Linked DNA regions of Lonchura striata. The protein of the gene in region 1 binds, or shares a complex with, the protein of each later gene. Links are inferred from orthologs where the notes say so. Each region holds a gene or a part of one and is shown in the gene's direction. Other genes may lie near its edges.

Evidence for each region.
Region 2: the proteins of VEGFC (region 1) and KDR are in contact, whole or in part, in a crystal structure (PDB 2X1W), measured with the Homo sapiens proteins. The link is inferred for Lonchura striata from reciprocal best matches to the Homo sapiens genes VEGFC and KDR. Residues at the interface, in NP_005420.1 of Homo sapiens: Thr148, Asn149, Phe151, Lys153, Phe186, Ile188, Val190, Pro191, Leu192, Gln194, Pro196; in NP_002244.1 of Homo sapiens: Val135, Tyr137, Ile215, Val216, Val217, Val218, Asn253, Val254, Gly255, Ile256, Asp257, Phe258, Asn274, Arg275, Asp276, Phe288, Leu289, Ser310, Ser311, Gly312.

Annotation. Positions count from the first base shown.
Region 1 is NC_134606.1:34,896,767-34,911,767, forward strand, and holds the start of VEGFC (vascular endothelial growth factor C), read left to right. Parts: upstream 1-7,972; 5' UTR 7,973-8,215; coding exon 8,216-8,359; intron 8,360-15,001. UniProt on the Homo sapiens protein: Growth factor active in angiogenesis, and endothelial cell growth, stimulating their proliferation and migration and also has effects on the permeability of blood vessels.
Region 2 is NC_134606.1:27,251,454-27,266,622, reverse strand, and holds the start of KDR (vascular endothelial growth factor receptor 2), read left to right. Parts: upstream 1-9,445; 5' UTR 9,446-9,612; coding exon 9,613-9,664; intron 9,665-10,868; coding exon 10,869-10,959; intron 10,960-11,448; coding exon 11,449-11,645; intron 11,646-12,742; coding exon 12,743-12,867; intron 12,868-13,156; coding exon 13,157-13,325; intron 13,326-14,530; coding exon 14,531-14,670; intron 14,671-14,869; coding exon 14,870-15,038; intron 15,039-15,169. UniProt on the Homo sapiens protein: Tyrosine-protein kinase that acts as a cell-surface receptor for VEGFA, VEGFC and VEGFD. Plays an essential role in the regulation of angiogenesis, vascular development, vascular permeability, and embryonic hematopoiesis.

The DNA of each region.
Region 1 (15,001 bases):
AAAATTATTTTAATTTTAATGTAATCATCTACAGTTTGGAACCAACCATTTTTAAAATAAAATATTTGCAATTTCTAGCTTTTTAAAATATACATGCTTGTCTCTCTGCCTCCTCCTCCTCTCTCCAGATCAGCTGGTTGCCCTGAGAAGATGCCATCACTGCAGGGAGTCTTACTAAGAAGCTGGGGTTGGTTTTAGTTTTGAATACACTCAGGCTTATGTTCATTATCAATAGGGAAGATTAGGTTGAGTTCCACAGCTGGAACCTGCTCCTGAAAGTGGTCTGTTGATCTACCCTTTGCACTTAAGAATTTTATACTGGGACTGATTAGTTGAAGTGTCCCTGTGGAGTATAGCTGTAGGTTTGTGATGGGATAGGAATTCAAAAAATAGATTAGGCCCAGCATGCTGCCTGCTTTTTAGGTCAGCAGTAGCTGCTTGAATGCAAGTTAGAAAGGCATAAGCAGCCAGAAGGACGATGGATGTGCTCTACTTTGTGCCTGTTTTCCTCAGTGACAGTCTCATACCAGTTGTATCAGTTACCCAGTTTAGCCTGAAGTGTTGCACATCAAGACTCTGTTCAGAGATACATTAACAGTTTGTGCAGAAAGTAGGAAGCAGTCAAGAACTGGTCTAAGCATGTCTCTTATTGCATAAATTCATTAATGATAATAGGGGAAATTAGCATGGCTTTCATTATATCACAGAGAAGTAGGCACCTCTTCCACCCAGTGTTAAATGTTTAGGAAAATGAAATTTTCTGGCCAGACAGTGAAGGAAGGAATTATTTGGGGCCTCTGATGCGATCTCCATATCAGTGCACCTTTGTTCTTTAATTTGTTGTCATTGCTTTTTCTTGTTTATTTTTTCTTAGCAGCTTTTGAAAAGTGAAAACGTTAAGGATTGAATTTCAAATTCTTAGAGATATTCCTCATCTTTCTAGGTCTGTGCCCAGGATGTATCCTGAGATCTAATAGCAACAATAATGCTCTTGATTCAGCACAAAACATACAATTTTTTGAAGGGAACATGTAATGGTTTTTATTATGCAATTGTTGAGCGGAGAGCAAAAGCTTCCTGGTAACCAAGTTAAGCATGCTGAAAATTCAAACTTAGTAATGGTAACTTGCTGATTGAAAGCTGGTTTGCAGGTTTCTCTTTTTGCTTTGTCTTATTTGTTACTATATTAAAAAAAAAAAAAAAAAAGAGGAAATAATATATCTGAAACTGCTGCTTTATTGTTTTTGTGTGAGATGTATCCAAAATGCTGGTACATGGAGTTTGGTTTGGGTTTTTTCTCTTTCTGACTGAATTATTAAATCTAGTTTCAGTGAGGATGGCAGTAGTTCTCTTTATTAATTTAATTGCAAACTATGAAGACTATTTTACATATTTGACTTCCTTTCAACTGTATCTGTTGGATTGACTTTTGGTGTAATAATGATGTGTAAAAATAAATATTTTTGTTATGACTAAGTATAGTGGTCTGAACATGAGACTGTAAGGCAAGAACAAATTTACTCTGTGGTTTGGACCTGAATCAATGAGAAATTGATTCAGTTTTCCTCATATATAAGATATGTCCTATGGGCTTAGATAAACCATCTGTCTAGATTGTTTATATTTTTTTTTTCTTTCCAACAGATACAATTAAATATGCTACTTAGGAAGAGAACAGTGTGTGTCTGCTCCTCCAGTCAATTTCCTTCATGCTTTTCCACTATCTGTATTCATTGAATAAAATATCCAACACTGGACTACCCCTCCCTTTCACCCCTCCAGCTCCCCTTTACTTAAAAATCATTTTATGGTCCTGATGTCCAGAACTATGTCTGATGCATTTGTAAACCTCTTGTAACAACAAATTCCAGGGGTTCACTACCTGGCTTATCAAGGAAAACAAAAGAAAAATCCAACAAACCCAAACCAGTATCTAACCTAAACCACAAATCTCTCTTTCATAATTTTTAAGTTAAACTCCAACTATTTTCAGCCATGTGAAAGATGAAGTTGGACTAAGCAAGAATCTCAGACCTGAATGTCCCCACATTTTGGTATTTATGGTTTCTGAATCAATATGATGGGCTGAAGCAAACCCTGCAGTGTGGGTCAGAAAGTCAGGAGGGAATTTTCAAGCTTTAAACTTTCCAATAGGTCAATAACAATACCTTTTCTGACCACAAGGAACCAAAGGCAGCACAGGGGCAATATACCTCTACTTTGTTATATGTAGAGATGGGACCTAGGGAGCAAGGACAGCAAAGACACTTAAAATTGGAAAGTAATTTTCATGAAATATTAAAATTACTAGAAAAAAATAGGTAGTGGACACCTTTCTCTTGGGAAATATGAGTGTTCCACTTATGTAGGAAGAGTCAGATATACAGCTAGAGCAAAGGGAACATCTGGCTGGATAGAAAATCCTTAAAAATATACAAAAATTACATGCTATTGCAAGCTTAAAATGAATCTGCCTAAAAAGCAAATACCACATGGGAATATACATACAGAAGAATGGGTTGGGGTGTTTTGTTCTTCCCAACACAGTCAGTTTTGAAGTACCTTTTTCAGGGGTTCATCTTTCAATGAACCACAGGATAAATGTTATTCAAATGACAGTTATAAGCGTAACTTTGGAAAACAAAAATTTTTAAAGAATTTGAAAGCACTGACCTTATTTATCTTAAAACTAGAAGACTAGGTAAGGAAGGCTAAGTGTTCCAATCTGCAAAAGGCTAATTTAAATAGGAGAAAAGAATTTACTTTTGTAAAGAAACCCTATTAAGAAAAAATTAGGATCATTAAAATAATGCATTTACACTATTCTGGGTTTGGAAGTGAACTGGTCTCAATATTGTTTGAAAATATTTTTAAGGTTTTAATAATTCAGCATTTTACATTTGCAAGGTTTAGCATATTCCTAATTTCTGGAGTAGGCAAAATATTGAACAGAAAGTTAGAAGCACTGAAGAAAAAGAGAAGGGATGCAGCAGAGATCTAAGTGAAGAGGAGGTATACAGGAGCAAAATCAGGGGAAACTGCATCTGTTTAAAGAAATGATTCTTTCTGACATTGTTTTAGAAATTACATAGAAATGTCTCTTGAACTGACTTGGGGCTATCTTGCCCTGTTGTTTTGTAAATTTTACCAAATTTTGTAAGTATAACTGGGAAGAAATAGATTTTGAATAAATTATCTCATAGCTTGTCACTTGGAAAACTACTGAAGGAAGGTATGTATCATGCAAAGTGTTTGTATGTTTAGTGGTCATGTGCTGTTAGCCCCTAATATTTTTGTTGAATCTAGAACTGTTTATTTAGTGACATAGCTTCAGCTATACACAGTTTAGACTGTGCACAGTTTTCAGTTAAGAGGCAGCATAAATTTGCAATCAGTCATTGTTTATAGTCAGAGATTATAACAATGAACATCATCAGTTTACAGGATGTTAAATTAATATTCTATGGATACCTGTTGTGTGTGACCTTACATCATAAGAGGGACGAAAAACTATGGTAAAGAGAAAAATCATAATATAAGTCAGCTGAATAAAATGTGTGCTAGGGCTTTCTCTATTCTAAGCTTTATAGATATGTAATTTGCTTTGGTTAATTCAAACACTTTTCTTCAGTTGTAGCCTGGTGCTGTCCATTTTTGCATCATACTAACTCCTTTCTATAGCAAGGGTTGAAAGGGTTTTACATTACTGCAGTCATTTAGTCAGTAACATGAGAAATTCTAATGTTAAATGCCAATGGTTTTGATTTTAACAGTTTAAAAAGGGAATCCCTGAGAACAAAGAAATTCCAATAATCCTATAATCCTTGAATATCAACCGGTGTCAAAAAGCTGAATTCTAAGGATTCTTGTCTTGTTAATTAATTTTCAAAAGGGACCAACTTTTATACTAAACAAAAGAGAAATTTCTGGATAACAAAGTGCAGGCTGCTAGGTCAAGCATTGCAGAAAATGATCTTGCAGCAATGATGTCTCTCAATGAACTGAAGTTATTTGTCCTGGCAATAATGTGACTGAATGCATAAAACTACATTTCAGGAGTCCTAGCTGGAAGTTTGGTGTAGAACAGTTTCCCATGGGGTTTTACCAGTGAGGATGTCTGATCAAAGCCAAGGAAAATATTTCAGTAGCTATTGATGATCTCCAAGCCACCATGCTTAGATCCTTTTCTAGGATTATATAAGGAAATACTAAATGAGGGCCCATAGCAAGAAAAAGACAGGGTTTTAAATGTGCTTTTTATGAGTGAGGAAGGACATTACTCTCATAATTAGTAAAACTGGCAGTACTCTTAGTATTTCTATTAAATTATGTTTTATACAAATAAGGAATATACAGAAATGGACTACAGCCTCAAATCCACACAACCCCCTTTTTCAGTAGTGAAGTCCTGTGTAAATCTGGTTACACTGAGTAGATAAGCAATATGAAAATAAATGTATAATAAAACTGGATTGAATGATTCAGTGGCAGAAAATGTATTAGTGAGCAGTTGTTGTGTCCAGTTTGGCACTGAATTAGAATTACCTTTTCTTTATTTTTTTCCCCTAAACATTTACAACTAATTTACAGTATCTACACCAGATACTGATATTTTAGACACTGATCAATATCCATTTTTTTTTTTTTTAAGCATGAGAGGAAGTATGGTGGAATCCCATCTGTAAAGGAGCTAAGGAAGCTTACTTAATTCATCTTTTGGGATGACTCCAGAATGGCACTTCCACAGTCTTTTGAGTTACTGCACACAGGGAGCAATGCTTTCTAACTTTGAGATTTAGATTAAACATAAATTCCATGGAAACTTACCAGTAAGACTGTTGTATATTAAAAACAAATCATGTTATCTGATTTTAACTCTTGGGTATGCTTCTGTCTGTCTGTTTAATAGGAGAATGAAAAGGAGATTGTTTTAAACCAAACACAATAATTTAAAGATAATGGAAATCACATTCTGTGAAAAGAAAACATTTGTTAGCATTTATTTCTACATTAAGAAAGTAAACCTCATTATGAAAGCATGTTACTGTTTTTCCTTGCTGCTCTTAACTCTATTTTATTTCCACTCTCTGCTCACATTTCTTGCAGTGAGTTTTCACACTGCTAACAAATGGATAGGAAACAGGCATTGAAATGCATCTGTGTTTCAGAAGCAGAATATATCTGAAAGATGCACATCAGGCATTTCTAGACACAGCAGAGGTGTCTTTTTGGCAGATGTATGTTATACCAACTTGAACAAGGGATGGGGGCCTCGATTTTTAAAACTCATTCTTGAAACAATACTAAAAGAATTTGTTTGAAAGAATCTTACTTCTGACATAAAAGTTGTGTTTTTATTTTTCAACAGTAGCTATTGTTGTCATTGAAGAATATAGGACATTAAGATCCAGACCTGTGTCTTTACACTGTTTGGATTTCTCTTTAGTCATTGGTCTTTATAAGGTCAGCTTACTGTTAGTGTACACAGTGTCACTTAGAATTTTAAATGAATTGTCCTGTGGGACAATTTCTACTTAATTTGAAAACAAGAGGAGAAATATTAACCATTATGTGGTGGAGAAAGTATGAAATATATTTTAATTTGTAAACCTTCAAATTAGCCATCTTTTATGGAATGGAGAGAAATACAATCTAGATTAAGGAAAACCTTAGTGTCCCAGAGCCAATGGAGTATTTATATGTTTGTACACAGAACATATAAACTATCATAGATTTCAACCACTTTCTTGTTAAAACTTTGATTAGTCTGAGACTTGAGCCACCATGGCTATGATTACTAGCTTTCAGTTATGACACTTGAAACTTGCTATACAGGGTAGTTGGTGGAAATGCTCTATTACATAAAAAGCCTTTGATCCCATGATGGATGTTCTATGAATTGTGGGGGGAAGAATGAAAGTGCTGGAGAACTGGGGAAATAAATAATGAAGCCAGCTGATATTATGATGGCACAGCAGGAGTGGTATGTTTCACCCTGTTTTGTGATTTAGTTACGCGGCTTCTCCTTGCACAACATTTACTTATTGAAATAATATCTGTACTTGATTTGTCAGGCAGGCTTTAATAAAGTGCTGCAAAAGAACTTCCTCTCTATACCAATCTGTGGTACCTTTGAGAGATTTTTAATATGTTTAAACTCAAATCAGCAATGCTGTGTTTCTGTTTAGATGGATTTTGCATCCTGGACTGTGCTCTCTTTAGGCTTTAATCCTATGCTTTGATCTGAAGCGCTCTAAGGGTCCAGTGAAGAACAATGATCTTTTTTAATTTATGTATGCTATTTTGTATCTTCATAGCTGTTCTGCTCAGCTTCTACCCCTGTCTTTATTTCATTGCTTTACTTTGTCTTGAAAGTATTTAGAAAAAAATGTTAGTGCTTTGATAATTTTCTAATGACTATATAACCTCTTAAAATATAGCCCTATTTAAACTTTAGATTTCATTCTGATTGTAAATGAAGTGTTACTTTCTAGCATCAAAATATTTGTGTAGCAGCATGCTGAAATATCATCTCTGAAATGATAAAAAATAAATAAAAACAACAACAACAACAACAAAAAAAAAAAAAAAAAAAAAAAAAAAAAAAAACACAAAAAAACAGGAGGTATCTGAGCGCCTGCCAGAGACATCTTTATGTATAACTCCCAGAATAATAACATAATGGGATTCCCAAAGAATAAGAGCAGTATAACATGAGCAGACTACCAGCATCTAGTCAAGGCAGTCAGGGATCTGCCACCACTGTTGGTTCCTATACATTTAATTACCAAAAGATGTACACAAGTGATGCAGAAATAAATGAAAAGCTTTTTAAATATTTACACAAGGGTCAATTAAAAAAAACCCGAAAGAATATAGGAAATATAACCTTTTTCTTTTGTGTAGTTGGGATTTTAGCAGGCTGGAGATTGTTACTTTGATAGCAATACACATTCTTTTTAAACTTTTAATCACATTGTAACTGGAACACAGGATGCTCAGTTTTATTTAGAGCTCTGAATGGGGTGTTACTTCTCTTCGAAGACGGCTCCAAAATGTCATTGATAGGAAGGCTACAAATAATTATGGTTCTCTTTGGATTACTGTTTCTAACACGGCAAAATCCTTTATTCTGCAGCCAAAAATAGCTGCATACTGTCTTAAGTGAAGCTGCCAACACTGCTCAAGAAGTAACTGATTAGGATTCACAAAAAATCTCTTGCATGATTTCTCTGCGTGAGTTTTAGCGAACTTCACCCCTTGGCTTCCGAGCCAAATGAAACGAGCCGGGCACTTTGCTTTTTCCTCGGGGCTGGGACTTGCCGCGGGCTGCATCCCCGCGGAGCCGAGGCCGGGGCTGGAAAAGCCCAGCTCTGCGGGACCTGGAGCGCTCGCCTCCCGTTCCCGGCGGAGCCGCGGCGCGCCTCGTGCCCGCGGCGCGGGGCGATCGCTCCCCGGGGCGCCAGCGGCCGGCGGCGCCGCCGCGGCAGCAGCAGCGGCTGGAGGAGGAGGCAGAGGTGGCGGAGGAGGAGGAGGCGGCGGCCGCGGCCCCTCCGGGCGCGCAGAGGCGCAGGCAGAGGGCGCTTTCGCCATGCGCGGCCGCCGCCGCCGCCGCGCAGCCCCGGGCGCCGCGCACCCCCCGGCCGCGCCGCCGCTGACAGGCGTCCGCAAGCGCGGCGGGCGGAGCGCAGCGCAGCGCGGCGGGGCCCCTCGGCACCGAGCCCCCGGCACCGAGCCCCCGGCACCGAGCCCCCGGCACCGAGCCCCCGGCCCGGCCCGGCCCGCGCGAAGCGATCGCCCCGGCTGCGACCGGCCGCCCGGTCCCGCTCTGCTGCTCCCTGGCTCTCTCTCTCCCTCCTTCCCTTCCCTCCTCCTCCTCTCTGCGCTTTCCACCTCCCCTGCTCCTGAGTGAGCGCAGCCTCGGATGTCCGGTTTCCTGGTGGGTTTTTTACCTGGCAAACTCTGGATAACTTTGGCGAGAATTTGCAAAGCGGCTGGGAAAGTTGGGAACTCCCCTGCAGGCGCATAGGAGCTGCTGCTACCGCATCTTCTCCATCCCACGGATTTTACTGCCTTGGATATTGCGAGGGGAGGGAGGGGGGAGAGGACAGCGAAAGAAGGGGGGGAGAGGAAAAGAAGGAGCCTGATAATTTCGGCTACATTCCTCCGACTGCCCCGCGGCCCCGCTCCGCGCCCGCTCTGCCATCCCTGCACCATGCACTTGCTGGAGGTGCTCTCCCTGGGCTGCTGCCTGGCTGCCGGCGCCGTGCTCCTGGGACCCCGGCAGCCGGCCGCTGCCGCCGCCTACGAGTCCGGCCAGGGCTACTACGAGGAGGAGCCCGATGCGGGGGAGGCAAAGGTAAGCTCGTGCCCCCGCTGTAGATGCCAGCTCCTCTGGGCATGTGTCTGCGAGTCCCTTTGAACGGACGGCTTGGGAGTTCCACCGAGGAAAAGCTGTGGGAGAAGGCTTTTGAAATAGGGGGGGTTCCTTAAAGTGAGGGAAGGAAATTTTTTTAAAGTATCTGAGTTTTCGGGGTTGCTGGAGGGCGGGCTGCACGGGGAACAACTGCGTTTGCACAGGGACGCGCAACACCTGATGAGCAGAGGCAGTCCGCGGGCTGCGCTTCGGCCGTGGAGCGGGGACTGCCCGGCCGGGAGCGATCCCGATCCCGATCCCGATCCCGATCCCGGCCCCGGCCCCGCCGCGGGCAGCGGCCCTTGGGCTGCGGCCGATGCCCCCGGGCAGCTGGGGCGCGCCCCGCAGGCGCCTCCGAGCGGGGTCCTGCGCTGGGAGCGCGGAGGGAGGGCGGGCTGAGAAGCGCTCGGGGGAGCAGCTGGGCACAAGAACGAAGCGGAGACGTGGGAGGACGATGACAGCAAAACCCTATACTTCCCATTTGTTGAGAAGTCTCTTGGAGTTACTGACGCTTTGGGTGAGCTGCTGCTGCGTGACGGAGTTGATGGGATGTGTAAGGTTACACTCCAGTCTGAAAACCTTAGTTCTGCCCAGACGCATGGTGAAAGTTGGGCTTAAATTCTCGGATTCCAGACACAAATACTTAAAATTCTCGGTTAATTTTTGTTTTCATATTAAGTTTCGTAACATAAAACTCAAGTACCTTTGGTACTTGTGGTTATGCAGTTCCTGGTATGCTGATGCATAAAAAAGATGCATAGTATGTGGTTGTATAAGCATGGCATTGTAAAGAAGACCTTTGATGTCTGTCTTACCCTCATCTCATTGTTTTGAAGATTTCTGACATACTTATTAAAGGAATCATGACCTAGCTCATTCATTATTCATTTCAGTATGGGGCAGGGAGGGAGTTTTGTGAATTAAAATTTAAATTAATATTCAGATTTTTTTCTCTCCTATGCTATTTTCTTAAGTGATTAAGAGTTTGGGAGGTTTTACTGTAACTACCTAGGAAATCAAGTTTTGATAGTATATATTAGCTGCACTTCAGGTGTGCAAACTGTTGTACACAGAAGTCATACTATACTTTTCAAATAGTAATCTGCATGGAAAAGTTTATGATTATACTGCAGTCTCTCTTAAAATATTTTAACTACAACTCAATGTTTACATTGCAATATTCTGAATGCTAATGTGCTATCAGTGATCATATTGCTTAAAAGTGTATAAAGTGTTTATCCCAGTTTATATTTTAAAGTAGAAACTGTAAGCCACTCTTACTGCTTAGACTATTTATAAAAATTAAAAAAAAAAAAAAAAAAGAAAGAAAGTCAAAACTTAGTGGAGGGTAAAAATACCTCAACTCCTTCCAACCCATGACTGTAAGTCAGTTATTTACTGGGTGAAACTGGCATTTGAGTTGTAAAGCCTTGGAATACCTTATGCTGGAAAGGTAGAAAGAATCCAAACTGGAGCAGAGCACATACTTTGTGTACTTAGACTGCTGAGGTAGAACAGCTGATAGTGAAGGTACTCTCCTCAGTGATGCTTTTGCGTTTCCGTGCATATGGTGTGGAAAGTTACTCTGTTTCTTGAAGGAACTTCGAAGTCTTTGGGAGCTGCCACTGTAGTGCATTGTGTTTAAGTGCAAGTGCTCCCTGGAAAAAGAGGAACTGTCAGCAAACCAAAGGAAGAAAAGGTCAAGAGACCAGGGAGTGGGATAGCATGTGTTAAGCGATTACATTAATAGGAAAACGCTTTTGTGCCTGACTGCTGCTGAGTAGTAAGTAGAGAAAGATTCTGGATCCAAGCAGACTTAGTTATGTTGGAAGTCTTTACTTATGAGTTTGTTGCTTTTGCTGGAACTGTTTGAGTGAGTGAGTACTGCACATATTTGTTTCTGTGAATGTCAAGATGATATCTTAGGTAATTATGAAAGGATTAAATAAGTAAACTGCAAATAATTGTTTCAAGGAAAATATCATTGCCAGTAAAAAGTCAACTGCTTGAACTTCGTTAACTTCAAAGAAGTTCATAGATGTTATGTTTTTATTTCCCATCAAGGTGCCATGCTGCTGCATGTTAAACTGATGCCTAAGTGCAGGTCATACAGGCCATTAGGTCAGCTCTTCATGCCATGTATTTATTTCTCTTCATTCCTATTTCAAGAGCTTTAGCTTTAGAAAGCATTTTAAAAAGTGTGAATGAAGTTGGGGCTCCTCCAACATAGGAGGAAAAGCTGGCCAGAAAATAGGGGTATTGTGTTTTTAAGCAGGTAATTTTCACATATTAAACTTGTCTAGAGATTTGCAGGAACTTGGAAGTGTTACAGATATTAATAGTAGTAGTTCTTCCTACACAGCTCTTGCAAGGGCATGTTCTGCAGCAAGTGGGCACTGATAAGCTTGTGTAACACTGCCTCATCCCTCTCCACTCCTAACCCCCACCCCTACCTTTTTTTGCTTTTTTTCTTTTCAGCCTAAGGGTAAGATTCGTTATTTGACAAGCTTTCAGGGCCCAGATTAATGCTTTTCAGCTGAACTGTCAGCTCAGTGGGATGGGAATGAGCCCAGCCCGTAAATCACCTCTTGCGGATTTCCTGCAGCACAGGGGGCTGTCCCCAGGAGCCGACCCCCTCGCAGCCGCAGCCCGCCTCTCCCGGCGGGGCAGGAGGACGGGCGGCCCTGGCCTCTCCCCGCCTGGGTGGCTTCTTGCGGAACCTGGCACTTCAGTTGCCTCTGTGCTCAGGGCGGGCCCGGGGGAATCAGCCCTCCTGCCCCAGATTTCACGCCCTTTGGCAGGGACCCGCCGCCCCGCAGGGATGCTCGGAGCAGCTGCAGCAAGGGCAGGGTGAGCTGTTTTGCCACACCGGTGGCTTGAAGCTTTAGCTTCTCCTACTGTCTTTGAGTGTTTTAATAACTCTTATGTTTGTTCTCTGGCTTTTGTTCTTTTTGTGGTTTTCAATAGGGAATGTGGGGTGAATATACACTGTCTACCTGGGAGAGTGTTATTTTAAAGAAATAAAGAATGCCTTATTGTTTGTTTGCTGAAAGTTTAAAATGAACTGAAGGAACTACGTGGGTATTCCGTGCAGGAATTAAATTTCTTAGGTCATTGAAATAAAGGCGTGTCAGCAGCATGTACCTAGACTCCATTAATGGCAATGAGGTAACAATAGCAGGAATAGGTTATTATGGTAACAATACCTGGAATGAAACTATATAGTTGGCAGGGTTTGCCATAGCTGCACCATCATTTTTTTGCATAGTCTTTAGAATTATGTGACTATGAAAAAGCAATATTGATCAATTGTGCCATGTAGTTTGAAAAGGTTTAAAACTATATTTATGCAAAAATGTTTGGTTTTGTATTAGAATGGGAATAGCAAATGAAAACATATTTTCCTATTCTGAAGCACATCAGAAAATTTCACTGGGGCCTCTTTACATAGACAGGAATAAAGTACAGAACAGTTTGTACTATGATTCTTGATTTAGGGTTTTTTGCAATGTAAATACTTGTGCTTACTTGAGCTTCATTTTTATTGGATGGTACCTGAGATGTACCTTTTTAATTTAATTATTATAAAATTATTTTAAAACTGACCTAATCATACAGTGCTGCTCATTGATGGCTAACAGAGTTTAATACAGTGTGTTGGTTTCCTGCTGTCACTGTATCTCCATGGTACGATCTCAGACCCATCACTTTTATGGTCACCCGTAAGTTTACCAAGAGCCTTACTCCGTGTTCCATGCACAGGTGAGAGATGAGGCTGCCTTGCCTGTTCTGAAAACAAGCACACACCTCACTCCCCGTAGTTAAGCAGGGCTGAGCATGTAGGGAGAAAGATATTTTTTCCTGCTGCTGCTGTTTAATCTCCTGCAAATTTTGTCATGTGTATGTTTGTAGCCACTCTCTTTTCAGACACATGAACAAAAAAAAGATGCTTTTTTTTTTTTTAGAACCGTTATTTGCAGCAGATGCAACGGGATGAACATTGTTAGTAATAATTATTTTAAAGACTAAGCAATGCTTCTGCAAACATAGATATTAAACTTTGGTCTGGCCTTTTATATGACTAAAGTACAGTAGTAAGCTCAAAGAGATCACTGCACTTTCTAGTTCTTGGAGTGCATTCCTGACTAGTTTAAGCACACTAGTGTGCCTGGGAGGGACTTCAGCTGTTTGTCTGCAGTAATCCCATGCATTTATGAAGGTTATAAAAAAACTGTGGAGGTCATTTTAACTGCAGTGTTTAGAGGCATACAGAAGCATCCCAACAAAAGCATTATTTTTATGCTCACTTAGGTTGTGTGTATTCTAAGTCTTGCCTATTTTTCAAGGGTGTGTGTCCACTTCTTTTAGTAAAAATAAACAATGACTTAGACTTCAGACTGTTGTAGCTGAGGGTGGTCGTAATAATAGTCTTCCATTGATACCCTGCATCCAGGATAGAAGTCTGTTAAAAACCTTGTGTTCTGCTGCTGCTTTTTTAAATGTGGTCAGTGATTCATTAAAAAAAAAAAACAAACCCTTGGAAAAAAAGGGAATCCAACTAAAGTCACACTGGTTTCTTATCAAATGTAATATCCTGTTTAATGTAAAAAAAATATGTTACAGCTGTTTGTAGAATGAATTATAAGACATTCTAAACAAGATTGTCCCTGAAAGTTGCAAGTTCTTTTATAGACTAAGTTGCTTCTTAGGAGTTTTGTTTGTACTAAATTTTGCTTATTGAGTAGGATAGATATAATTATTTTCCTTATCTATTATACATGTTTATTACTTTTTAAATTTCACCTTGGTTCTATTCAGAGTGATAATGTAATACCAAATTCTCCTACATGTAAATGTGTTATCTACTTCAAATAAACTAATGGCTGCATAAATTGCACCAGAATTTTAATCTAAAACATTGATAACTTACAGAAGCATGGATGATTATTTGTTGAATTTGTCAACTTGCTTGTCTTGTTTTGTGTTTATCGGTCTCCAGAAGTTCTTTTGGTGACAATATTTGTGTTGCTCTCCCTCTTTGTTGCATTTCAGACTTTAGTTAGGAACTAGCTACAATGTAAGTAATTTATCCTTCTATTCTTCCATTGTAATCATCATAAATCAATCCCCTTAACTCTGTAGTAGTTTGTTGGTTATTTATTTATCCTGGCTTGTTCTAAGATACCTATAACTTCTTACAACTATTTAGAGACTGCAGTTGGCAGTGGAAGGAATAGATATTCTAGTAAGAAGCTCCTAAGCTTTCTAATATCTAGTAAGAAGCTAAAAAGCAAAGTAACCCAAGAGAAATTGTGTTATTTGGGGGAGGAAGAGAAAACAGGGGGGAAAACTTCTGATAAGGAGAAGGAAAAAGATTATAGCAGTTATTGTATTTTGGCTGTATTGTAGTCTTTACTGAGTGTAGATGAGCATGTAATCATTCTTCATGTAGTTACTAAGGCCATATATCATCTGCAACTAACTTTTGGGATCTTGATCATGGTTAACTTCAATGAAGAACGATTGCTTGGGGAAGTTAATGACATGAGTTACCTGACACTGCTGTCACCCTAAGCTCTGTATTACTCCATACTGTTTACATAATGACTTTACCTACTCAATGACAGTTTTCTGATAGCTTGACCTTCAGAATGCAGCTTAAAAACTGAAGGCGTTTTATATCTTGCTCCTTACTGAACTAAGCAGGAATTCTTATACTGGACAAGGGAAAATTCTGGCAAAGAATTGGACGGTTCTTGGAAGAAGATGCCAGAAGGCTGCTGGGGAGCAAATGACACATGTATTTCTGTCTGGTGTTAAGTGTGATATCACCTGTGTTACTTCTCCTACCTTCTTGTGGCAGCACTGAGAAAGCACTAAGTAATTTCAGGAATTGTGAAGAACAAAATCCTTTATACAATTATATGGTTTAATTCTTTGACTTTGCTTACTCAATAGTTATGTTTTGTTGAGAAAGAGAGAAGACAGGAATTAAGCAGAAGGGATAGCTTCTGAGAACATATGCAACAATTGGCTATTTCCTAATATTTTTCCCCAAAGATGGCCCATAGTAAGTCCCCCAACACCCCACAAGCATGTGTGGAAGCTTCTAATATTTCTAAAGATTTTTAGAAACAGTAGATACCCTGATCTGCATTGTTGTGGCCTCACCCCGAGTTCTGTGTGCAGTGAGCCCCAGAATTCAAGAAGGATGTGAAGGTCCTTGGATGCAGCCAGAGGAGGGCAACAAAGCTGGTGACAAGGCTGAAAGGAATGTCCTAGGAAAGGGCGGCTGAGGACTTTGTCCATCTAGCTTGGAGAGGAGGAGCTGAGGGGTGACCTCACTGCTCTCTCAGCTTTCTGGGGAGATGAAGAGGAGAGAGATGCTGGTCTCTTGTCCCTCTGGTGCAGTGGTTGGATGCATGGCAGTAGTTAAAATGCACCAGTGGAGGTTTAAACTGGACATTAGGAAGCTTTTCTTTACTGAGAGGATGATCAAACACTGGAACAATCTTCTTAGAGAGGTGGTTGATGCCCTGAGCCTGTCAGTGTGTTGGAAGCTTTTGGACAATTCCTGTAATAATA
Region 2 (15,169 bases), about 7.6 Mb from region 1:
TATTATTTTATACTTAGATTCTCACCCTTTATAAAGCAAATATTCCTGTATTTCTACGTCTGAAATAAAGTAAGTCTTCTTGGCAGATATCAGTGGCCCTGATCTCAATATCTTCCTTCCTTGAACTGCTCAGTTACCTTTTTCTTGGCACATGACAGTCTGCAGATGTCAAAGAATAAGGAGGTGTGTCGTGTGCAGTGCCAACAGTTCAGTGTTGGCATAGTATTTCCTGCAATAAAGGTCTAATTTCAGGCTTATGGAGAATTCCTGCTGACTCACATCCTGTGGCATTTTATGGACAAAAGTCCAAAACCAGATAATCTGAGGTCCATGTCACTTTCATAAGGTTTTCACCCTTTTCACCCAAATATTTGCTTTCACCACTCATTTCTAATGTTGATAATTGTGGCTTCAGGAAAAAAGTTCTTCCTACCAATTTAAGGCTGGAGATTTGGCATCCCTATCTATATCTGCACCTGTGTAGTTCGCACCATGTCATTCTTGGGCTCACAATTCCCACCTCACCTCTTCTCCATTGCCTGGCATTTCACTGCTGGTCTCAGCTGAAAATGAGAGTTATAACCTCTGCAGAGAAAGCAATGCCCCAGGGGATGGCCTGGCAGCCTCAGTGTCCCATGGATCAGTTTTCCCATTCTGCAGTGTTCTGTATCCAGGGCTTGCCTGGAAAATGTGATGTTGACTGTGGAAAAGAACACAGCTGGGCTCTTTCCCTGACTGCTCCCTCAGCTCCAGGATGGTTCTCTAGGAAACCCTCCAGCCCCTCCCAAGGCTCTGTGCTTTCCTTATTGTTTCCTTGGTATTGCTAGCCTTAATCAGCTCCTGAGTCTGGGCAGGAGGAAAAATGTGTCCTCATTGCTTGCTGTGAGTGTTACAAGGAAGGATCACCTTGGTGACTCCCACAACTGAAAGGGTGGGAATGGAAATGTATTACAAGCACTGAATCAGCAATTCAGTGAAATTAAATAATTTCAAAATGTGTATCAGCTATGTTTACTGTATAGTTAATAAATGTTATACTAATAGAATTCCAGAAATATCCCTGACCTCTAACAAAGTAAAGATAAATATAAATGTGTATAAATATAAATGTATATATTATAGCTTCCATATATATGATTATATAATTTGTCTTTTTAGAATAATCTTGAGTGCTAAAGTTGCTATTATATATGATCCTAAAATCCTCCTGAATAAAGGCTCTGAGCCCTTTGTCTGCTATAAATTGTCTGGCTCTAAGTTCAGCAAGACTCAAGCTTCTAGTAAATACTCCTCTTCTCTTCTAGTAGAATTTGTACTTCAATAATGAAGCATTGTGTCCCAGTGGGCTCCCTTTGCTGCCTGTGGTTTTCATAGGTCAGACTACATGTCCTAATACTTCCTTTTGTCCTAAATGATTATTCTATGAATTTTGTGCATGTCTTGTTTGGGCGTCCCCCTCCAGAAAACCATGTGGAATGTATTTTTTAACCTTTGGTAGGTGACAACCTTTTGTGACACAAACCCAGTGAAGAATACGGTCAGTGCCTGGTCACTTCCTTTCCTTTCCTGTTGATGCTTTTCTTCTGGTCCCACATTGTCACACATCAGCTACTAAATGTTCAGCCACTACAGCCACAGCAGAAAACAATGACAAGGTAGTACAATATTTGCTATGATTTTTCTTCTTGTATGAGAGATGTGAGAAAATAGATGACCAAAAATAGTGTAATCAATCAGTCAGTTTGTTCACAAAGGTAAAATTCATAGAAAACAGAGCTTTGGGTTAGGGTTTCTGGCTTTGGGGTCAAGAATTTGATTGTGAGAATTGAGGTAGCCTGCTTCTCTGGACTGCTGAAACATGATTTGTACCCCTGTAAAGAGAGTATTTTGATCAGCAAAGAAGCTGTGATATTTTTTCTCCCTGGTCCTTTTCAAACCTGACTGATTTGTGTCCTGGAAGGGAAGCCTGAACAGAAGCTGAACTTGCCTTTAGTGGAAGAGTTCTTTTCTTTAGAACAAATTATCTCAGGAAAATGGGTATGAAGTAAAACAAAGAAAAATACTAACTTGAAAAGACATGATCAAATTGTGATGCACTTTTATACCTTGTAAGAAAAGGCTTTTGAGTATAGGTGTTAAAAATCAACTAATGTATTACAATTTTAAAGGGTTTAATCACAATTATCTGCTGTGCAAGTAAATTTTGAACATAAAAACAAGGGTTCCTCACTGTTGAGATAAAAATAATTCTTCAGAGGGACTGTGAGAGCCAGCTGTGCTAGTACCTGAAAAAGTCTTTAGAAGAATGGTAGAGTGATGGATATCCCTCCTAAATCTGTAGGAACCCTTGCTGTGTCTTTTGTGGGTCTCAAAATTCTTTGAGTTCTAAAGTCCCTACATTATATTCCATAATACAGTTACTATTATTTATCCTGGCTGTGAAAATATTTAGGAACAAAAATAATTACCTGGCAGGAACCAATTTGGAAGTATTCCCAACATGCAGTTTAAGTGTACCAGCAAGCATTAGTTGGGAAAGAGATGTCACATGCTCTGTGCCATTGGCTCTGATTTGGGAAAGTCATTTGATGTAATTTTGAATCATCACTATAGAACTCTGCTTGAACTTCAGCAGCTGTTGACAAGTTTCAGAAGTCCTCACCAATTTTTGCCCTCAAATGTCTCCCAGGAGTTTGTAGCTGGAAGTAGGGTGATTTTGGAGGTTGGTGGTTTTGGATTTCTTTCAGTTGTGTTGCTGAACACACAAAAAAAGACAGGAAATCCAGTCACTTCAAGATAGCTTCCAAGAGAAAGGTGTAGAAGAGGTATCAACTCAAACTGATCACATTAGCTCTTCTAGCTGAAAAGGAATGCTGAAAGGTTGTTGTAGGCTGGATGAAATATTACAGTTGACCCAATAAAGAAGTACTTAATTTTAGGCTGTTTTATTAAAGAATGAGAAACCAAAAATTGTATTTCTATTAATTATGAATACATGTGACTTGAATAAACCTGAGAAGACCCTCTAATACCCTCTTCTATTGTAAATTAGAATTAAATATCATCCTTTACAAAGATCTGACAGACCTGATCTGAAATACCTCAACTGATGTCAGTCCCAGACCCTCCAGACAAAATTTTTCAGTGCTTAACTGCCCTGAAAATCAGAAAATGTACCCCATTATCTGAGATGGATCTCCTGTCCAGAAAATTAGACTGATTATTTCCTCTTTTACCTTTGGTGACTCTAAGGATAATTGATCCGGGACCTTCAGCCTGTTCCCACTGGAAGGTTGTTATCACGCCTGTCTGTCTGGTCTCCTCTTCTTCAAGATTGAACGGTCTCAGATCTGTCAGCCTTTCCTTGTAGGCTGCGTTTTCACAATTCCTGACAGCCTTTTGCTCTCCTTTGAGTTTCCTCCAGTTTCAACTCTTAATGCTGTCCTATGAAATGTTGGCAGTTTTTTCCAGTTGTTGTGACCAGTAAATTTTAGGCTTGTTCCCTAGGGAAATAGGACTTACTAATCACATTTTATGTCTGTCATTTTACTTTTTCTATCTACTTGACTCATATTTTTTTAACTCTTCTGCCAATTTCAAGCAAATGTGACAGTGGTTAAATGTATCTAAGATATTAGGTCTCCATTTATTTAATTTAAGCAGTTGCAGGGTGTAGGAGAGACATCTGATTAGAGTGCTAACCAGTGAAAGGTTGCTATATGACAAAATCCTTGGCAGACACTGAGGCACCTCCATAGCAAAAAAGTGCTACAAACAACACAAAACCCTTCAGATTTTTTCTTAGGCAGTATGGGACACACAGACACCCTGGGAGCTGCGGTGCATTGTTTCTACCCCTAACACAAAAATGACTTCTAAGAATATGTTGGATTGGCTGGCTCCTTGTCAGATATATTCATAGTTTTTCTTTATTTTACAAAAAAACCCCAGTAACATATATCTGTGGCAGATTGTTTCCCAAAGTTTGACTCCTACTACTATGGAAATTCAGCTGTGGGAGGCCTGAGTATCTGGGAAACCTCAGACACCATGCCATAACAGGTGGCCCTTTTAGGTTTCTTGATGGTGTTGTTCCACATCAAACGAATTCCTTCCGTATTTTCAGGTACATGGTCCAGAATCCAGGTCTTTGCTCTGTGAGTAGTGTGATACTTGCTCCCTTGTTTTCCTTCAGTGAATATTAAGGGAATCTGTGTAAAAACACAGTCATTTAGACAAAGTGCCTTAGGATGATGCCTTCCATTCCTGCAGCATGGAGGTGAGGACATCCTTCTGAATGCAATCTCTTCACAGGAGGGTATGCAGTGAAAACATGATGCACCAGGAAATTAATACAAAAAATTATTTTGTCCTTCTCCAGCAGTTCTTTCAACCTAGACTTTGAGACTTTTTTCAGAGACTTTCAACTTTGAGCCACAAAAAGAAAAAAAAAGAAAAGTCAAGGGGAAAAAGCCCCCAACAACAAGGAAAAAAATATTGCATGCCACTTCTGCTTGAGAATCTGTAGCTTATCCCTGTCACCAGTTGCCCATCCATTAGCCAAACTGACCAGGGGCCCCAGATACCCTCTGCTTCCTGCTCAGAAAGTGATGCTTCAGAGCTGATTCCTGCTGCAAGCAACAGGGAATCCATAGACTTCAGCCACATCAACAACAAAGGCATTTGTCCCTTCTCCACAAAGCCCTTGCCTTGCAAAGATTTTGGTGGGAAAAAACAACTAGATTCGGTAAAAAAAGGAATAGCTCCTTGAATGAAGGGTGTGTAGGATCCTGTTGTCCTGGCAGGAGTAATTGTGCAGAGTTTTAGAACACAATAGGGACAAGTAAATAAACAATGATATAAAATGAGTTTTTCAAAGGTGTGTCCCTAAAATTGCACATACCTGGAACCATAATTACATGCCTAGAAGTGCAGAGACATATACAAGGTACTTCAGACTAATCTGGGGCTTGACAGCAATGAGCCTGCTCCTCCAGTTTTGTTACCATCAGCATCTAGTCAAGCTAGAATAGAGCTGCTCTGGGGATGTCCACGCACACCAAACTCACACCTCCTGTTTATACATGGACAAACCCAAATACAAAGCATATATCCCTAGATTCCAGCGAAGGTATCAATGTTTTTGGCATACTCTGAAAATAGAAGCATTTGCACCTCTACTTTTAGGCAATTTTGTCTAAAAATTAGTGGGTTTATACCATCTCATTCCTACTTCCATATCTGTTCTCACCTGAGACAATTATTCTTTCATTTCCAGTGGAAGGTTTGATTTTGTCCTTTGGGGTGTCCCTTGCAAACCAACAGGTTTTGTGGGGTCTACACACAAAGTATATATTGTGGTAAATGTAGTTCTGATCTTGCACGCCATACACATGAATGCCATCTCCTTTTTTTGAAGCGGCATCTTGCATATACTTCGCATCTGCCTCATCGAAGTTGATCAGTGTGCTGGGGATGCGTGCCTGCTGAGGGCCACACTGCTGCAGGCTGCTGCAGTGGTGCAGTCTGCAATGTAGACAGAGCTGAGGGGAGCATCCACTCCCGCCTTAGATGCTGAGTGCCTGCGGGCGCGGCTGCGGCGCAGAGGTGCGACCGGGAGGCGGTGCGGCTGCTGGCTGCCGCATTCCAGATGTGTTCTGCATGGGATGCTGACCCCTGGTAAACTTGTTGGGCTGCAGGAGCAGGAAAGCACATAATCGGTGTTGCCAGGGCCAGCCCTTATCTCCCCCCAGGTTGTTACTTGAATAATTAAGCAAACAAAGGGCCGCTTGGCTGCTGCTGCCTCCAGTCGGACTCCTCGGCAGGGCTGTCCGGGAAGCCCGGGCAGAGCCAGAGCCTGGGGGAGTCGTGACAGGTCGGGGAGGAGACGGGAGGCGGCTTGTGCGGCTCCTCTGCTGCTTCTCTGTGTCCTGTTTTTAATGAGCTTTGGCGATCAGAGGAGCAGATGCACAGAGGCTCGCCGGCTCTGCCTGGCCAAGGCGAGGTTTGGTGTCCCCTAGCTCGGACCATTCCCAGGGACCGTTCATGGACACGGAGCTTCCCCTGCGTGCAGGCTGCAGCAGAAAGAGGCTGATGAGCCCAGAGACTGGAACACACCGATTGCAGAATGGAAGCTGCTCTCCCAGGGGCTCTGGGAGATCCTGCGTGTACGGGGAGTCAAACGGATGAAGCACAGAGCGATGCACAGGGGTTGATTGCGTTCTGTCTGTCAGTTCTTCCACAGCTCCCCACGTCTGGTCTCATGCTGAGCTGAGAGCTGCTCGGTGTGGCAGGACGGCTGAAGTTTCATGGAGCTCCTTCTAGCTGAATGCTTCTTTGCTGTTATTGTCTGGCCAAGGCAAAGGCACTTTTTTGAAGCAAGACAAATTTAAAAAGTCTTGATGGGTTTTCCTCTTATCTGAGGCAACTGAGAATGCTGAGACAGAGTATCTTTAGAAGCCATTGCAGGCTGGATTTAGATCCCAGGAAGTTTTTCACATTAACACTGTCTCTGGAGAGGGAGGAAATCCCATACTGTACTCACTGAACTACATTAATATGTTTGGCTTTTCTCACTAGATCCCTGTGGTTCAGCTCTGATGGTCTCTGGTGCAATCTGGACTATGCTAGATACTCTACAAGTCTGAAGGATGACACAAAGGCTGCACAGAGATCACAGCCTAAAAGGCTGGATGAGAAAGCTGCCATCCCTTAAACCACTGGGGTTTTGTACCCAGACATCTGTGTCCCATAATTATCACAGCAACACTATATTTACATGAGTCTTTCACTTGGATTTCTTGGATTTTATGTGCCTGTCTTTCTTCTGTGCTTTGGTTGATTTTTCTCTCAGAGGTTCCCAATGGCATCTTCCAGTGAAAATGCACTTGCAAAAGCTCCATTGAAGTTCAAAATAGAAAAATCAATTTAGCAAAGTACATATGACATCATACATCATGTATTGGTATAAGTCACCTCACATCTTTTCCAATCCTCACCTTCCCCAAACATCTACCATTTTCAATGATACTTGGCTTTAGTTTTTATTTTATGTTGTTCCTAGAGGATTAGTCTCACCAGCACCATGTAAGTAATTTGAATCAGATGAAAAGTCCTGCATCTGTTGAATGACTCTTTGGAATAAAGTTACTTTTGTGCTTAACCCTGTTTATAGGGTTAGAGCCCCATTCAAAGAAGTCACCTTCTTGTTCTCATTGGTACTAAAAATGTCCCTGGTACTACAGGGATGGCAATTCATGCACTGAAGCAGCAGTTCCTGCAGAATTATTGTAGTTACCAAGATTATACCGACAGCCAGGCAAAGTGCTGAAGGATTGTGTCCCATTTAAGAAGCACAGTGTAAAAAACTGAGATCTCACTGGGGTTACTCAGGGAGATAAAAACAATTTGTGATTTTGAAATGTGGAGTTCCCTGTGGATGAGCTACAGTCACAATGTGCAGGCTCCTTGCTGCCAGCTGCTCAGTTCGATGTGTGCACTCACCAGGTTTGTGTGTTTGAAGGGTCAGCCCCTCTTTACTTCCCTTCTTCAGGATGCTGCAGGGCAGAAGGAGGCAGGGGGACATGGTAAATGCCAACGGGCCTGTAGAGGGCTAACATTCATCTATCTTGGCTTAGATGTGCTTAGGACAAACAGTAGGTATTTGTTTCCATAAAGCTCAGGCACCACAATAATTTTCATAAATGAAAGCAGCCTCCCCTTCCAAACCACTCACTTAATAGCAATGACTATGCATGAAAACAGAGCCCAAATGGTATTGCAGTAATCTGTAGCTGCACATCATCTGACTAAATTTTAGAAAAGCTACTTGTTAAAATCAATATAGGACATGTTTTCTACAGCTGCATTTTGGAAGCTCTCATAGGAATGCGGAAAGCATTAAATGAGCTGCCAGCAACTTTACTGTTGTCTATGGATCCTGTAACAACTTCATCTAAATAGTTTTTGACTTACCCCTATAATTTAATTTTCTTTGTTGACTGCCTAAACTGCTTTTGAGGCAAACACTTCTAGCAGGTCATCCAACCCTTATAAATTTTTTTTTCTCTTTGTAGTCAAACCCAGCAAAACCAGCATCACCACAAAAAAGTTACTAAAGATGGCTTTTTTATCAGTAGGTACCTTTGGTTTTCACTAAGTATCTGTCACTAGCACTTACATGCAGTCTAGTTTCAGCAAGGTCAGTAGTTGAACTCACTGCCAGGGCTCCCCAAATCACTCAGCAATACCAGTGACCTGACCTGCAGTATGATGCAGATGGGGGTATTAATGAAGGCTGCCAATATTCTGGTTTAAGAGCTCATAAGAATAGCAAGTGCAGTTTTTATTTGCATGGTGCTGACTTGCTGCCACTTGAATCACATGAGTCTTATTTGACTTTTCATGGATTTTATTTGATCTCTAGGAAAACTTTGGCTTCTCCCATTCCCTGTATCTTTCTGTGAGCAACAGGGGTGTAATTTCAAAGGAAATTACACTCTTTCCCCAGTACAGTAAAACAGCTGGAATTGCATTGCATGCAAAATAAAATCGCTGCTTCATTAACTTAGTCATGGGAGTGGACAAGCTCCCATGCAGATTTGCAGGGAAAGAGGAAAAGGTGGCATATAGAGGTACACATAAGTATATATGTGCATGTATTTATATCTACTTGATTATCTATTTGTTTATATACCTCTCTTTACTGATCTATCTCCCCCATAGAACTTCTATTATGTGTATGGATAACGCATTAATGACCACCATGTTTTTATTTTTCCCAAAGGACTACCTCACAAACTTCTCTTTAACAGTCACTAGTTAATAATTCTGATTAAAAGGTATAGTTCTGGTTAGGGGGTTCGTTTTTTAAAAAATGAACTCTTGGTGTGAGAGGGCAATGGCTATGGCCATGGGGAGCATATCTTAAGAGAGCAGGATGTGAATGCTGATGGGTGGGAAGGGCAGCTGTGGCAGGCACTTGTTGGATTCCATTAGCTGGGATGTGGCCAGTTGGGGTGTTTGGGTACATGCTACATGGTTAGAGGACTCCTCGTTGTGAACTCAGCACTGACGCTGCCAGACACTTCAAACCCGGGGGTACAGTCGCTGCCAGCAGGAACACGGCTGTGTCTCACTGACAGTACCTCATATGGCTGGCCTTTGGGATCTTTCTGTTGGGGGGATTTTAAGAAGCCCCCAAAAAAGCACGGTGAAGCGCCAGACAACGCTGAATTTTACTGCTGAGGCCCTCCTGCTGCCGAGCAGGGAAGAGGGAGAGCTGCCGCTGCCCGTCCGAAGGGGAGCATCCCGGCGGGATGCGCAGGGGGCCCTGGGGCCGGGAAGAGGGGCGGGATCGTGCTGGGGAGGGCGGGGGCTCGGCCCCGGGCCCCGCCCCGGGCACAAGAGGGGCGGCACCGTTCGCCGGGGTCCCGCATCCCCGCCGGGCGGTGCGGGGCGTGCGGCTCGGCTCGGCTCGGCTCGGCTCGGCTCGGCTCGGCTCGGCTCGGTCTGGCTCGGCTCGGTTCAGCTTGACTCGGCTCGGCGGGACGAGGCGCGGCTGCCGTCGGGCAGAGGGTTCGCTCGGCGCCCCGCAGCCCGGGCGGCCGCGGGATGGAGCTCGGCGCGGCGCGGCTGCTGGCGGTCCTGCTGTGCCTGGCTCCAGGTAAGCCCGCGGGGAGCCCCGCCTTACCCGGGTCTGTCGGGAGCTCCGAGGAGAGTGGCGTGGGGATGCCCGGTGCCGCACAGGGCGCGGATGCGGCTTTCCCATGGGTTTCGGGGCTGCTCGAGCGGGTGAGACAGTGCGAGTCCCGGGTGGGACGGAACGCCCGTGGCTGCGGGCTTGCTGACCCCTCCTGTCCTGTCCTCTTGGCCTCCCGTCCGGCCGGCTGGTGCTGGCCCGTCGGAGAGGTTTGCCTGCCACGGCATAGTGTCCTGCCCGCTTGGCTCCAGCATCAGCTGTCGTTTCCGAGAGCAAAATGTCCCTGGAGCCAAACGCGGGAAACCTGTCATCAGGAGGACCTGCTCGGAATGCAAGTGATTAAAGCACGGGGAAATGCTAGCGGAATGGGGAATGTCCCGGTCTGGCCACGCTCTCTTGCTGCCCGTTGAAGCCGGCCAAGCTGTCGCGGCTGGGGCTGCGGCTCGGCCCGGTGAGGCGGGATTCCTGAAGGTGATGGCAGCAGCTAGGGCGGAGTGAAAATCTTTCCCTGTGGTTCTCCCAGATGTTGCACAAGCTGGGCTGGTACCTCAGAGCAAGCACAGGCACCCAGACCGCAGCCCTCACAAGAGCCAGTGGCCCCGGGTGGATGCGATGCGAGCCACTGTGCCGATAGTCCGGTCGTAATACAGTTTTGCCTAACTTAGGACGAAAGAGATAAACTTAGAAAATCATGGCATAAAATAAATTAATGGGGTCTCAGATTTGTGACGAAATGCAAATTACTTTCTTTGCATAATTCATTGATCAGTAGTCTCAAAGAAGTATATTCAATTTATTATGAGAAAAGCTGGTAATCCCAAGGGAGTGAGATCATCAGATGAAGGTTCACTTCGTTTCAATGTCCCACATCCTCTTGTTAGACCTTGAAGTTGGCAATGCAAGAAAACAGGAACTCCACCCTGGCTGACTGAATTGTAGTGCTCTGCAGCTAGCTCCTGACCATCTGCCTTCGCTTCCTGTTATGACAGAATTTTTGAACTTTTTGGGATGTGTGAAAAATCATGATTTACCCTTCACTGCTAAATAGGTGATGTTAAAGTGTCCATTTAAAACCTGATTAATATTCCTGTATATAATACTTTTCTGATTGAGTAGCACTTACTTGTTTATTTGGTTTATTAGAGAGGTTTCATTCATGTTTTTGCAGGTTTATTTATTTCTCTGGATCAGCCAACCCTTAGCATCCAAAAAGATGTCCTCACAATAATGGCAAACAACACACTAAATATTACTTGCAGGTAAGGACAAGTCTGTTCAGCATGATTTTGATTATTGGTTATTTCTGAAGTGAGCTTTTGTACAGAATCACACATGATGTGATCTTTCTCCTGTCCGGCCTCCTGTTTTCTCTCCACTCTTTGTGCCTTCTGCCTCACTTTTCTCTGACAAGCTTTAGAAATTATGTGGGAGGGCTGCAGCAAGAGAGAACTGGGGAGTGTAGGGTGGCTGGGGGAAGAAGCATCAGCTGTGTCCTTGTGGATCCTGCTGGTGAACCATACTCTCAACACTCTCTTTTGGTGCTTTGTCACTTAGATTCAGCAGAATGTAAATCTCAAGTAGCTTCCTCGTAGCTGTTAGCAGTAGGTTGTCTGTGTGGATTTGTCCTACATGGTTTGATGCTCTCTCTACGTGACGGGGTGAAGCCCATCCCTCTCCATAGCCACAGAGACTGCCAGGGCTGGGGTTCATATCAGAAGTGTCTGCTGCTCTAACATTTGCTTTCCCAGCGGTCAGAGGCCGCTAGAATGGTCATGGCCAAGCAAGCAGAGCAATGCTGAGAAGCGTATCTCCGTGACAGACTGCAGTGATGGCCCCTATTGCAAGACACTTACTGTGAGCAAAGTCATTGGCAATGACACAGGAGACTACAAGTGCCTTTACAGGGACAGCCAGGCAGCTACAACCATTTATGTTTATGTTCAAGGTAAGTGCTAACACAGCTCTCAGATGTCTCCTTTCCTAGTGTCAAGAGAAAAAAGGAACATGGTGTCTCAATACAGTTTTGATGCTAGAATTTATTAATCCTAGAATATTTGATCCTGTGAAATATTTTTCTTGTTTTCATGGTGAGTAATTAAATTCAGGTATTCTAGTTGCCATCAGCACAAAACCCTTTGAGCCTATAATTCTGAACTGACCTGCCATATGTAGTACATGGTCTGCTGTTCTCTACCCAGAATTTAGCATACATATCTCTGCTGTGCTCTGATCCTGTTCTCATGAATGCAGAGTTACCTCTGACCTCAGCAGGAGTTTCATATGAGAGAGGATTACAGAGGTTTTATATTTGTTAAAAATTACACATCCGATCCCATGTACGATTTGTGCTGATACCATTAAAAAAAACCCAAAAACCACCCAAACCCCAAAACAGAAACTTTCATACATTTGCTGACTCTGGTGGTAAAATCTATTTAGGCTGTAAGAGCTCAGCTTTCAGTTGAGTGTTGCAGACACTGCAAAGCCTCCAGTTATACACTCAGCTTCAATAAGTGCATTCATTGAGGCATCTGCCTTTTTGCTCTGATGGCTTCACCCTCGTTTCCATATGCATCCTGCTTCCTCTTTATTGTTAACTTATAGTTACCATTTTGAGAAATGAGACATAATTAAGTACATGACTTAGCTTGTTTTATAATATCATGGAGCTATTTTTTGGTGTTTTAGTCTGACTTTGAAAAGGATGCTGCCATCAGGGGAGTCAGTGTAACATGTCACAACTTTTAACTGATATTTCCTGTAATACTTATGCAAGGAAAGTCACACTAGGGTAAATCAGTTTTTTGTTGACAAAAGGACTGCTGTAGCAGGAAGCCATTCTCAAAAGTGCACTCTGCTGCAGATAACTGTTTTGAGAATAATGATATTCTGAATCTGGGGGGTGGGTTTCTATAAAAACATGTACCTCCCCTACTTAGTCTCATTATTTCAGTGCTTTATGACATGGAAAATAATACAACTGACTTTTCTCGATAATCATGTAGTGAATAATACCCACTTATCAATTAAATATTATTCTAGATTACAGATCACCATTTGTGACTTCAGTCAGTGATCAGCTTGGCATTGTATACATCACTAAGAATAAAACTGTGGTAGTGCCGTGCCTTGGAACTGTATCAAATCTCAATGTATCTCTACATGCGGTAAGGCAAAAGCCTATTATTTTTTCAAGAGTTAGTTGAAGTTGCTGTGGCATAAATATGTTGTTTGAAGTTAAAATAGATTTCTTAAAACTTCTGTCCATCCATTGTGACATTTATAGCTTGTGATCACAGGATGAATGTTGTACTTGCACTCTCAAAGCATGTACTAATTCCCTGAGCTAGAATGTTAAAATGGGGGCCCTGCAGCTGGGGAAAATGCCGGAGGTGAGAATTCAGGGTTCTTTGATTTTTGAATACTGACTATGTGTTTTATCAATATTCCAAACAGAAATATCCAGAAAAGATATTTGTTCCTGATGGTAAATCCATTTCATGGAATAATAAAAAAGGCTTCACTATACCCAGTCATTTAATCAGCTATGCAGGCATGGTCTTCTGCGAAGCTAAAATAGATGATGAAAGCTACCAGTCTGTGATATACATAGTTGCAGTTGTAGGTAAGCCAAAGGTTTTTATTTCTCTATAACCAATGTTCTTTTGCTTTCTACAGCATGCTGAACCAATTACATTTGGTTGGACACTAGGTTATTCAATACTGACAATGCAGTTAATGCAAAATGGATGTTGAGATTTATATCACTTTTCTTTTAAATGCAAAGTATTGTGTTTTTTCTGGTTGATCATTGGGATAAGTGCTTCTATTTTTAGTGTTTTATATTGATGCCAGGGATTTAATTTTTTTTTTCTGACAATGCAAACCTTTTTCCTAAAATCACTTATCCACATTCTCAGTCACAGTGGAAGGAAATGAGAGGCAAGCAACCATCAGCAGCAGATGAAAAGAAATTGCTCTGAGTGGGTACCAAGGGAAGGGTGGATCTGAAGGTCTCACTGTGAGCTGGGTAGTCTTGTCTCCCTAAAGACTTGTGTCTCGACTCTCACAGGGTTTTATGCTTTCCTGGTACATTTTGTCAATTGTTCATCATACCCCAGAAATAATGTGATAATTCTGTGGAGGCTTAAGCCTGAACTGAAACTCAGCAGCTCTTCCTCTTTTAGCTGAGGACCCATTTCAAATATCCAAATGGTACCAAGGCAATCTGTCCTGGCTTGTCAGAAAAGCATGAACCCCCCTCTTTACTCCATGCAGAAGGCTTTTACTTCTCCACCACATTCACAAGTTCTCACTCTGATTTGGAGGAATTTCAGAATATCTGTAGAATTTCTGCATTCAGAAGTTTTTGTTTTGAAATATTTTACTGCACAAAGTAAACTTTGGATAATGTTGCTACTGCCCCACCATTATTCTCTATAAAGTTCCTGCTTACTGCTGGGAATGGGTATATAATCTCCCTTAGTTTTAGATCTCACAAGGATGAGGAGTCTAAGGCAGAGGAACTGTGTGAGTCACTGTCTCTTGCCTGCTCCCACCACTGGAGGGGTTCTGATCAAGTCCACACATCCTGCTGTGTCACTGCCTGACACGGGTCCCAGCTGGGAAGTGCTCAGGGCAGGCACCTCACTTCTCTCCAGGCTCCTTTGTACACCCATTATTGTGCTGCACTGGGTCATCAAGGGGCTTTTTTGTAGCTGGGGTTTTGGTGGGAATTTTGGTGAATTCAACTAGGAAATTTGATGCTGAGTACTGTAAAGAAACCTCTTCTTACCCCCTTGTTTTGTGTGTGCCTTTGTCTTTCTCTAGGATACCGAATTTATGACCTGACAATGAACCCACATGATGAAGTAGAGCTGGCAGTGGGAGAAAAACTTGTTCTCAATTGCACTGTAAGGACAGAGCTGAATGTGGGAATCGATTTTAAATGGGACTACCCTTCCATCAAGGTAAAGTTATACTAACTTACAGGTGCCTTCATCACAAAGCAATTTGACTTATTTAGGTATAATATCACTTCTCCCTTTAAAACATTGAGAAAGAAGATGATAATGCACAACAAAATTTCTGGTATGTACAAGTGTGCAAAGGGCGACAGAAGGAATAACAATGACATTTCCAAACATCTCCATCTTTTGTCTATTACAGGAAAAACGTGCCACTATTAGGGATGTAAAAACCACTGCAGGAGAAATAAAGAAATTTGTGAGCACCCTGACCATTGACAGTGTGTCCTTAAGCGACAATGGTCGATATACTTGTGCAGCATCCAGTGGTCGTATGAACATGAAAAACAGCAGTTACTTCGTCATCCATGGTATGACATTTTCTCCTTCAGTTTTGTTGGTTGTTTCAGATTAGGGATTAATTACTGGGATGCAGAAGGCATCTCAATGATGAATCAAAAGACAGAAATGAGCCAAACTGCAGCGACAGTATTTATCTTGC